3 linked regions of the Sus scrofa genome follow. The protein of the gene in region 3 interacts with the protein of the main gene of each other region in a pairwise test. Links are inferred from orthologs where the notes say so. Each region holds a gene or a part of one and is shown on either strand. Other genes may lie near its edges. The genes, in order: TMEM51, SLC35C2 and CREB3.

Region 1 (3,743 bases), on a different chromosome or scaffold from region 3:
AGGCCAGCCTTCTACAAACTCCCACCCAACTTCCAGGCCACCAGAAGGATCTTCCTAACACATCAGCAGGATCAAATAACTCTCCTGCTTAAAGAATTGGAAGAGAATTTGTGTCTTGCTTTGTCTTGCTTGTTCAGTGGTCTGAGCGCCTAGAACAGTGCCTGGCCCACATAAGACATACAGTCAACCTGGTTCCGAGATGTCTCTTCATCACAAGTCCCTGCTGATCCAGTCCAGTTCCTCCAGCCCCTCCACTCCCTTGACTTCCCCCACCCTCCCACAAAACCACCCTCTACTACCTGAGCACCTCCCCTGGCCCAGCACCCCTTCATACGGCCACACCTTTGCCTGTGCTATTCCCATCTGCCCAGACACCCTCCCTGAGCCATCCCCCCACGACACTCCACTTCGATGTTTAATATACCAGCACTCTTTTCTTAGCAGGACCTCCTGGTGCACCTTCCCGAGTTACTTCCTCTCTTCTGTTCTTCTCTAACCCTGTACCATTGCTTCCTACAGAGCCCTTGCTCCGTGCAAGGCATGAAGGAAGGTAGTTTCCTGGGACCTACTGAGAAGTTCTGCTCTAAGCACCGGTGGAGGGTGCCTCTTTAGCCAAGCATTCGGAACCCTAGGTTATCACGCCCCTTGTACAGATGAAGAGACTGAGGCTCAGAGAGGCAGAGTGACAGCCCCCTGTGGGTGACTACACCACCATCTCTCTAAGACACTTGCCATTTACTATCCATTAGGCTGGGAGCTCTCTGAGGCCCCTTGGCCCTATATCCCCGGGGCCGGCCTGGCGCTGTGTGATACTTGAGAGGCCCACTGTCGGCTCAGGACGTCGTGAGCATCAGATGCACCAGGAGCGCTCTTCCCTTTCTCTTTTCTGCCTTTTCTCCCGTTCTGGGCAGGACCTTTGGGCAGCTGGCGAGGGACAGATGTGGAGGGCAAGGGGCTCCCTCTCAATTCCATTTATGACGTCTCCAACGTGTGAAAGCCTTTCACAGGTCCCAGAGCCGACCTCTGACCTTTTGCTAGCGACATGACCCCCTCAAAATGAAAGCCAGAAGCCAGCCTTTGAAAGCAGTGCCTCTGCCGCCGCCGGCCTCGGCGGCCTCCGGCCCCGCCCACCCAGCTCCGGCCCCGCCTCGGTTCCCCGCCCCCGGACCCCCGAGCGGTAAGGGAACGACTGGTCCAGGGACCACGAAGGCCTCTCAGAGCGCTGCACAAGTGCCCGCGGCCGACACCCCCCTGGGAGGACTCGAGAGGGACAGGGAAAACCGTAGGGACGTCTGGGCTTCCTGCACCCAGTCCTCTGGCTGGGAAAGATTTCTTTCCGCAAGTGACCATCCCTCTTAATCAGACTTGGCGTTCCCGGGCCACAGGCCTCCCCTCAAGGCGCAGACGAGAGATGTGATTTGGAGCTGGGTAGTCCTCGCTGTGCGGTAGGCACGAAGGCCCCACCTCCCCCCGGGAGATCATCACTCCCATTTTACAGACGAAGAAACCTGAGTTACACCCCGCTTTGCTACGCCCGATTGCTCACTCTTTGCCTCTAGTACCTAAAACACACGTACACACACATGCACGCGCGCTCGCGAATCTAAACCTCTTACAAGTCTCCATTTCCAAAAAGGAGAGTTGGGGGCAAGGGCTTATGCAGGCAGCGCCAGGGTAGTTTCCTGGGACCTACTGAGAAGTTCTGCTCTAATCACCGGTGGAAGGTGCCTCTTTAGCCAAGCGTTCGGAACCTGCCAGGCAGATGGCACCTGTCCCCGCCAACAGGGGGCCCGGAGGCCGGCTGCCTGCCCCAAGCGGAGGCCAGCTGGCCCCACCGCGATGCCGGGGAGGCGGGTGGTCCCGTACTGGCCCGCCGCGGCTTCAGAGGGTGCGAGTTCGGAGTCCTTCCGGCGCAGACACTGGCCGGGAAGCTCTCAGAAGAACCGAGAGGCAGACCCAGACTGCCGTCGACCCCCTCGGGGGCCCCGTGGGGAACAATCCCTCCGCGGGGCGCGGCGGGGAGGAAGGCGCAGACTCACCGGGGCGGCGGCGTCCAGCTCGGTCTCGGTCTGGAGGCGGGGGGCTGGGGGCTCCACGACCCCGGCCCCCCCAGGCTGCTTCCTTCGGGCGCCGCGATCCCGGGGCTGGAGTCTCGGCCGAGGGAGCACGGTGGCGGAGAGCGCGCAGCCACCCCTCCCCGGACCAGGATGGGGACGCAGGAAGCACCGCCGCGGAGCGCCGGCGTGCGGGAGGGAGGGACCGCGAGAGGCGGAGGGCGGTGCCGGCCCCGAGCCACCTCCCGCCCCAGAGGCACCGCCCACCGGCCGACCCTCCCCCAACTGGCCCTCGGCACCACCCGCCAGGCCTACGGCGCGGGGCCCCAGCCGAGCAGAGCCGGCACCCCTCCGTCACGTCGGCTGCGGGAGTGCGGACCGGGGGCTCTGGACCTAAGTCCAACCTCATCTCGGCCGCACAAAGTTGGCTAAACTGGCAGGGCGGGGCGGGTGGGGAGGGCTTGACCCCTGCCGCCGGGGGCCGCGGAATTGGAAGTGTGGGGCTGGGGCGGGGAGTGGTGTCTCGGCCGGGAATCTGAGTATTTAAGGGTTAAGGAGAGTGGAGAGACCCCCTCTCCCTACCAGATCCCGCGGCACGGGTGCGGAGGTAAAGCTCCGCGGGGCCGCCGCGCCTTTACCTGATCTAGCACTCACCTGGCCACCAAGAGCCCTGGCCAACCCCTCCTCATCCTCCCGGGGAGGCCGCCGCCTCCCTTTCCACCTTCGGGCAGGATCTGGGCACTGGGGACCGCCTGCACCGCCAGGAGCTGGTGCCTTGTGAGTTGACTGAGGTGATTGATGGGCGGAGGTAGGAAAGGAGGAAGCAGTTTTTGAAAAGCGAGTCAGCTCAGGCCCTCCACCGGGCTTCTCACCCTCCGGGTGCCCTGGGCGCGCTCTGGGTCGTACACCCGGGCCTTGGTGGGGTGGAGCCCATTCCAGGTGCCCGCGCCTGCGCACGTGATGAGGGCAACCTGGCTCTGGAACCTCCCCAGAGGGGGGCCCGTTCCCAGTTTGGCGGAGAACTTGCCCCAGGAGGCACCAGCTCGCGTCCTGCCCACCAGGTGGCTGGCGGGTGGCCGCCTCTGCTTAGAAGGGCAGAGCGGCTGCCCAAGGCCTGCTTCTGGAGAGGGTGATCCACTGCTGGGGAGGGCGTCTCTTACCTGCGGCTCTGCTTCTGCCCCATGCCTGGAGGTTGCCCTGGAACTGCTGCTGGGACCCAGCCTGATTCTGAACACAGAGCGGGGTGGTAGCCCCCGTCCTCTCTCAACTTAAACTTGTTTTGAATTCCAGGAGAGGTCAGGCTGGGGTCCCCTTCTCCGATGAGTGTCCAGCCCTTTGAAGTTCAGGTCCTGGGAAAGGCTGATAGGCAGCTGGCGGGGTATCAGAGAATCTGAGGACAGAAGGCGCCTCCTACTGGGAAGCTGCCCTGTCCAGGATGGAAAATAGATACCCTAGTGGTAATTGCAGTAAATTCACTTCCAAACAGGGCCTCATGGGTCACATGGTCCCCACAGGCCTATACCTACAGAGTGGTCGCAGGTGGGTATTTTTTCCCATTGCTGCTTCTTAACATTCAGGGTAACAGTTCAAAAGACCCTAGTGTCTACAAAGAGGTCAATTTGGGGCTGTCACGTGATTTGGTGCTGGGCGGGGGGGGGGGGGGGGGGGGGGAGGAAGAGGCATTTGAAG
Region 2 (3,643 bases), on a different chromosome or scaffold from region 3:
ACCCTCAGGCAGGCACCGCCCCTATGGGAGTGGCTGTTAGAGGTGCTGGCAGAGGAGGTGTGGGTTTTCTGGTTCATTTTCAACGTCTAAAGACCAAATCAGTCTCCTGAAAATCACGTGCCCTCTCTCTTGCATTGCGCCGTCACACCATACGGGGAACGACCAGGGCGCCAGGTGGCTGTAAGCTAACGTGGCCGCTGGGGCTCCTGTCTGCGTGGAGCCCACAGCCTCCCGGGGGACCCAGCCGGTGCTCAGATCATCAGGTCTTGCACAAGTGCCATGGAGGAAAAGTAGGGGAGCAGGCCGTATCTCAGGGGGACCCATCAAGGGGCCGTGCTCCCTGAGGAAAGGACGTTTGAGCCGAAGATAAGAGGAAAGAATGAAGGCTGGGCTCCCTCCAGCAGCAGGAAAGGGCGGGTGTGTTTGGGGAAAGGAAAGCCCTCCAGCGGGGCTGGACAGGACTTCTTAGCTGCCAGAAGGGTTTTTGGTCTTTATCTTAAGAGCCCTGGAAATACCGAAGGAAGGGCTGCAGGCTGATCCAACATGATCAGATTTACATTTTTAAAAGGTCACTTTGGTGGAAATTCATGGAGAACAGCTTGAGGTGACAGGAGAGTGGCCATGATGGGGAGCTGTGAGCCTCTGGGCCAGAGGCGGGGCGGGCTCCTTCCGGGGGTCCTGCCCGCTCTGCTCAGGAGCAGGGCTGGGGAGTGACAAGTCCGGGGGGGGTCCCCCCCTCCCCGTTGCCAGAGCCACCGAACCGGCCTTTCCATCTTTCCAGCCTCAGCCCTGGGGTCCGGCGAACCGTGTATGCAGTGGATCATGGAGCGGGTCGGCTCAGGCCACCAGCCCCTTAGGTGAGGACAGTGCCTGGGGCTCAGCAGACAGTCCTGGATCATGGAGGCCGAGAGCGCGCCAGCCGGGAGACTTTCCTGTTGAGAGTCGTGGGCCCAGCTTGGCCGGCCGTCTTCAGGAGAGGCGCCGCCCCCACGGACCAGAGCTGGGGAGCTGCCGCTTCCGCGGATGGGGAGGTGGGCCCTCGACGTGGCCTTCCTGTGGAGGGCGGTGTTGACGCTGGGGCTGGTCCTTCTCTACTACTGCTTCTCCATCGGCATCACCTTCTACAACAAGTGGCTGACCAAGGTACCGCGGGGACCTCGCAGGGCCCAGGCCCCGGGGCGGGGGCGCCGCCATGGCCACAACGCCCCCCGATATTGACCAGCAGGAAGGCACGGGCCTCACCTAAGCAGACTGGAAGCCGGTCACGCCAGTGAGGGGACGGCCCTTAAATATTTGGATGGAGGGGAGATCAGGAAAGGGGGAGCCACCGAAGAGGAGCTGGGGACCCTCGGGGGCCTGAGGCAGCACAGGCCTGGCCTGGTAATGAGCTGCTCGGGCCATGCAGGTACTGCCTGGGAGGGGCCAGAGCAGGCAGCTTGGGGGCCTGTTGAAGTGACAGAGGTGGCACCAAGCTAGGCCTGCTGCTGCCTGCGTGACCTCCAGCGGTGGGGCGAGTGTAATATGGGTCAAGGCCCCTCATACGCTGCCGAGCCCTCCTCACTCCTCCGGCCGGTGGAGGTGGGGAGCCCTCGGGAGCTGGCGGGCTGTAAAGGCGCCCTCGTGCTCCGGCTGCCCGCAGAGCTTCCACTTCCCCCTGTTCATGACGATGCTGCACCTGGCCGTGATCTTCCTGTTCTCCGCCCTGTCGCGGGCCCTGGTTCAATGCTCCAGCCACAGGGCCCGCGTGGTGCTCAGCTGGACCGACTACCTCAGAAGAGTAGCTCCCACAGGTATGTGCCCACAGGCGGCTGGCCCCAGGGTGGAGGGGGCCGGATCCTGAAAGGAAAGCCAGAGGCCCAGAAAGGAAGCTTGCGGGCTTGAAGCTTAGGCCCTCCCCCTTGCGCTCCCACCCCCACCTCCACCCCTGACTCCCTCCCATCCTCCCTCCCACTTCCTCCCTCCACCCCCAGCGCCCCAGAGGCTCTGCTGCGCCTCAGCTAGCAGTTCCCTCACCCTTGTGCATGCACGTGCCCTGAGCGGGCACCACAGCCTGGAGATGGCAGTGAGCAGAGCCTAGTCCCTGCCCTCGTGTGCAAGGGGATGCTGGGGAGATTGGGAGGGAAGTGGCACACCTGAGTTGCCGTGGGGGGAGGCGCTGGGAGAGTGTGGTGCCAGGGGCATGGTGGGGGGGTAGGTCTGAAAGTGCCCCAGATGCTGAGAGGAGGTGAGAAGAAAGGCGAACTGAGAGGGGTCCAGGGTCAGATCCTGGAGGACCGGGTCCTCCGAGAGCAGCAGCGAGCAGCGAGCATGTGTTTCATTCTGAGGCAGGTGGGAGCCATTCTGAAGAGTTTGCCAGTAAGGGCTCGGCAAGATCAGGTTAACGCCCCTCCCCTCTCCCGGGGGACATTCAAAACTGTCAACAAGTGGGGACCACACAGGTCCCAGCCATTCAGAGTAGACTGCCACCTGCCCTCGTGCTGGAGCAGCCCCCTCCCCTTTTGGGAAGTCTGGGGTTAACCCTCCAGTAACTGGGTGGAGGAGTCCCCTGGTGGCTCAACGGGTTAAGGATCCACCACTGTCCCTGCCTTGGCACAGGTTTGATCCCTGGCCCAGGGAACTTTCGCATGCTGCAGGCACGGCCAAGAGTTAACTGGGTAGAAAGGAGGGCTCATCAGCCCCAGAGAGAGCCAGGGCATCCAGGCCAGAACGGGACACTCAGGCACCTCAGAGAAGTGTGTGCGCCGCTGGCACATCTGTTCCGGCCTGGCCTGGCTGTGGTCCCACGGGTGCCCCATGTCTCCACAGCACTGGCGACAGCGCTCGACGTGGGCTTGTCCAACTGGAGCTTCCTCTATATCACCGTCTCGCTGTGAGTACCGGTGCCGCCCGCCTGCCACCTGCCTTGGGGCTCAGGCACACAGCTACCCGGCCAAGGGGCCAAGGGGCCAGGGGGCGGGTCTAGGATGGGCCCTTGCTCGCTCCGCCCCCCTGGCTCCCAGCAGCTCTCCTGGAAGTCACGGCCTCTGCAGAAAGCTGGCACAGAGGGGACGCTGTGCCTCCCTGCCAGGAGGCCCAGGCAAGCCCGGGGCTCAGCCAGCATTGTGACAGGGCAGGGGACAGAGGGGCACGGGGCGGGGGTGGGGGCAGGTGGCAGCTATTTCTTCCAGCTGATTCTGCGCTTCAGCGAGCACAGTCTCTGCCTTCTCTTTTCCCCGCTTCTCCTGCCCCCACCCGCCAGGGTAGGTGAATAATGGGGCTCTAAGCTCAATGTCAGACCTGCAGCTTTTGTTCCCTGGTAATAATCAGAGGCCTCTTAGTCAGAGATTTCTTGCGATGAAAGGTCACCTATCAACCCAGAAGACCTGGGCTGCCTTCCTTTGGTCTTTTGTATCCTGGTTACCCTGCTGCCCTCAGGAAAGTCAGGGGTCTCCCCCCCGGCCCTTTCCAGCCCACTGATTGTGCCGTGGGCGCCTCTCTTGGCAGTGGTTGGGCGCGCGGGCTCCAGCAGTGCATCGTGGGTAATTTTCCCTTCCAGGTACACAATGACCAAGTCCTCGGCTGTCCTCTTCATCCTGATCTTCTCTCTGATCTTCAAGCTGGAGGAGCTGGTGAGGCCTAGCTCTCCTTGCGTCCCTCCTCCTCC
Region 3 (3,743 bases):
TGGATTAAGAGATGGGAAGGGAGGCCGAAGGCAGGCTGAGACAGATGATAAGATGAACACCACGGGAGTGTTAAAGGCAAGCGGAGTATTCTGAAAGTGGGTATGCATGACGGGTTGGGCGTGAACTGCAGGGCCAGGGAGGAGAGTTGCAGAGGAAGGCTTAGCATCTAGGGAGTGAGGGAACGGGGAGGCAGTAGGACTGAACTCTAGAGGATTAAGCCATCCCCTTCTCCCATGGCAAGCTTCCTTGGCCGGCCTTTCCCTTAACTGACCCACCAGGCCCCTCTCCCCTAGATAGTCCCCCATTTACTATGAAGCCTAGCACATCTCCTGGGTCCCTAACACCTTCCCACCTCCTACCTTGTAAATAACATGGTCCAGGAACCCCTGCCCCTCACCTGTGGTGGCCACAGCAAGAGCCTTGGGCTTAGAGAGTACAATGCAGCTGGAATCCCAGATGCCTGCAATTCTAGCTGAAGCTCAGAACCCTACCCTGTAATCAGTTTATCATTTCTCTGCGCCAAAGAAGCCCCCACGGCGACAGAGAAACAAGAGCCCTCCCTGCAAAAAAAAAAAAAAAAAAAAAAAAGAGCACCTGCCAATCTCTTAAATTTTACCTGCCTGAGGTCACCTACCCTGACCTCAGCCTATAACCCCTAAAACTGTCCTTAGTTCCCAACATTAACCCCGATCCCAATTTGTCTCCTGATGCCCAATACTGGCTTTAACATTCAGCTCTTTCCCAGCAGACACTTGAATCCAATCCCTGATCCCTAATTTTGATCTAAATTTTACCTTTAGCACCAAATCCCAACCTTACCCCTAGAGCTTGACCCCTGAACCTAAAGATCATGTGTCACTTGATTCCTGAGTCACTCCTTCCCCGTTTTACCCCTAACACTGGCTATGCCAACGGTCTCTAATGCCTAAAACTGGATCTCGAGCGCCGTTCCTGCTGCTGACCCTTAACCCGACCCTGGACTCTAACTCTGGCTTAGGCTGACCATCCTAGAACACAAAATAATGTCCTTAATCCAAACTTTACCTACCCAAAACGGACCTGACTCACGCTCATAACTCGAAATTTAAACCCCTAAAGCTAACCTTGGCTCCTAAACCCAATACCACCTAATCCCCAACCCACCCAGGGCGCTCCTACCCACATACCCGCCATCAGCCAACCTCAAAGCCGATCCCCGCCCTGCGTCGCACTGCCACCCACTCTTCACCCTCCCCCAAACCTATCCCAGACAGGGGGCTGCTCCCAGCAAGGGAGCAGAAAAGCCTCCCGCAAAAAGGCCTCTTGAACTCCCAGCCCAAGCCGAGAGACACTGGACGCTGACCTCTCCAACAGGACCCGAAACAGGAGACGCAGTCAAGTCAGGGGCCCCGCCCGCCTCCCGGGCCCGGCCTTGCGGCCCCACCCTGAGGCCCCGCTCGCGGCAGACCGGCCTACCTGCGCTGCCCGGCTCTGCGCCCCGCCCGCCGGCCCGCTAACCCGCTCGTTCTCCCGGTGGCTCTCGGGCTCCGGCCTCGCCCTCCCTTCGACACTCTCGGCCACTTCCGTCCGGGAACGTCCCCCGCCCGCGGGCGGCGCCCTGGGCCCGCGCTCTATGGTTGCGGGGACCGCAGGAAGCTGCTCTGGCCCCAGATCTCGATGCTCAGGAGCCGGCCGAAGACCCGCAGCCCCTCCCCGGCAGGAAGCGAGGGTGCGGCGCAATCCCAAGAAGACGCCCGAGCTGGGCCCGAGGTCCCGGTTGCGCGGTAGTCCTTCCTTTTCCTAGCCCGGGGCGAAGGCGGAGGCGGAGGCGGAGGCGGCTCGCCGGAATGCCCGCCCTCGGGGAGTGAGGGGCTGGCAAGGACGTCCCCTCTATTTGCATAGTGCCCGGGACGTGGCGTGCACCAAGGCCACTTCCGCGTCCGGGGAACTCCAAGTCCCGGGATGCCTCAGGGCTCGGTGCGTCACTTGTGTGGTGTTGGAAGTGGCTAAGACTCAGGCTGGGAGGCGGGTCGGGTTTGTGAGCCACCTCCGGCATCCAGGAGGAAAACCCCGCTTGCGGAGCCCATAGGTGTGGCCCACTGACGATCGGTGGGAGTCGTGCGTGGGGTTGGGAGTTGACTCCGGGTGTACTTCTGTGTTTCTGCTCATCCTTTCCGTAGATGTCTCATATGGAGCTGGGGTTGGACTCGGGTGACGATGACTTGCTGGGCTTCCTGTTAGAGGAAAGCGGAGGTCTGGGGGCGGCGCGGGACGAAGCCTTGGAGGCGCCCCTGGATTGGGAGCTACCACTTTCCGAGGTGGGGGGGGGCTCTGAGTCCGGGAGGCCCCGGGCGGGATGGAGGGGTGTCTCTGAGGCAGGGGGTGGTGATCAGTCAAAGTCTGTTAATCTGAACCCTGGGCAGGCATTGAGCGATTGGGACGTAGAGGATTTCCTGAGCTGCCTGTCGAGTCCCCCAGCATCGTTGACCGATTTTAGCCACTCTGACCCCTATCTTGTCCACCATGATCACACCTATTCCCTGTCACAGGAGTATGTCTCCATAGATCTAGGTGAGTCTGATAGAGGTGAAGTTTGGGGGAGGGGAGGGGACTATGGACCTGGCTGTTTATACTTTCCCTCTTGCAGATAATGAGGATTATGAGAAGGAAGGGGCCCAAATGACTTCCCTGCGTGTGGAGGCGCCCGCAGAGCAGGTAACTTGACTTGGTTTACAGGACGATTATTCCCACATTGACCGGGTTGGGGCAGGAGTCCGAATTTCTCTCTGACACCCTCTTGCACCTGTGCTGCCCACCTCTTGGAACCCCAGGAGATTGGTGAGCTGATACTGACGGAGGAGGAGAAGAGGCTTTTGGAGAAGGAGGGGCTTACTCTGCCCGGGACACTTCCTCTCACTAAGGTAAGACTCCCATTCGAGGAGCAAAGACTGGATGCAGGGGTTAAGTCCCTAGTAGGCTGACTCTGTTAATTTTATATCAGTAACTTGAGAAAGGACTGAGGCGAGATGCTGAGTCCAGCTTCGCAGGTAAGGGCTGAGGAACGGGTGCTGTAAAACTTGAGAAAAAGTTAGCATAAAACAAGACACAGAGACATTTATCTTAATTGCGGGTGGGAACTGGGGGACTCAAGGTCTCAGGGACCAAGAGCAGTGCCTCAAGAAACCACACTGCTTTTATTGTGCTCTTTAGGATTACATCAAGTGAGGAGGGGGTTGTAGGTGCAGGACATAGTTCTTTTATTATTTTAAAAGTCACATAGCTGGTAGCTGGTTAAGCTTTTATTCTGACCTTTAGGCATTAACAATCACTAGCATTGAAGAAGCTGGATATTAGCTCTCTGTGCATAGCACCTAGAGAATTATCATTGTGCTTCCACAGACAGCATGCCTATCTGCTGCAACCTGGCATGCCTAGGTTTGTACCTCCTTGCTGATGCATATTCTGCTAACGACCGCTCATAAACCCCCTGGGGCCTTGAGGCGCCTCTTCCTCTTATTTTAACAGGACGTATCATGCTGTGCAAACTGCATGCCTAGACCAACGCATTATGTCCTCATTCAGCTGACCACGTGAATACTTATGCCTTTTGGTCTTTGTTCTTAAGCTTAAATTATTTACTAGCATGGTGACTGTTTTTCAAGCTGGAATATGGGGTTAAGTAAAGCAGGACAAAATGGAATTTTCAGCATAGAAAATAGAAGCAAAGAGGCTAAGAAAAGATTGTAGAAACACGTCTCCTGAC

The links.
Region 1: the proteins of CREB3 (region 3) and TMEM51 interact in a two-hybrid assay, tested with the Homo sapiens proteins (2 studies listed by BioGRID and IntAct). The two-hybrid records come from large-scale screens. The link is inferred for Sus scrofa from reciprocal best matches to the Homo sapiens genes CREB3 and TMEM51.
Region 2: the proteins of CREB3 (region 3) and SLC35C2 interact in a two-hybrid assay, tested with the Homo sapiens proteins (2 studies listed by BioGRID and IntAct). The link is inferred for Sus scrofa from reciprocal best matches to the Homo sapiens genes CREB3 and SLC35H1.

Annotation. Positions count from the first base shown.
Region 1 is NC_010448.4:74,433,267-74,437,009, reverse strand, and holds the start of TMEM51 (transmembrane protein 51), read right to left. Parts: upstream 2,261-3,743; 5' UTR 2,040-2,260; intron 1-2,039.
Region 2 is NC_010459.5:48,518,486-48,522,128, reverse strand, and holds part of SLC35C2 (solute carrier family 35, member C2), read left to right. Parts: exon of another isoform or gene 1-263; intron 264-781; 5' UTR 782-1,023; coding exon 1,024-1,143; intron 1,144-1,639; coding exon 1,640-1,790; intron 1,791-2,805; coding exon 2,806-2,869; intron 2,870-3,535; coding exon 3,536-3,608; intron 3,609-3,643.
Region 3 is NC_010443.5:236,449,099-236,452,841, forward strand, and holds the start of CREB3 (cyclic AMP-responsive element-binding protein 3), read left to right. Parts: upstream 1-1,474; 5' UTR 1,475-1,942; coding exon 1,943-1,957; exon of another isoform or gene 1,958-2,069; intron 2,070-2,160; coding exon 2,161-2,298; intron 2,299-2,403; coding exon 2,404-2,551; intron 2,552-2,627; coding exon 2,628-2,695; intron 2,696-2,811; coding exon 2,812-2,901; intron 2,902-3,743. UniProt on the Homo sapiens protein: Endoplasmic reticulum (ER)-bound sequence-specific transcription factor that directly binds DNA and activates transcription. Plays a role in the unfolded protein response (UPR), promoting cell survival versus ER stress-induced apoptotic cell death.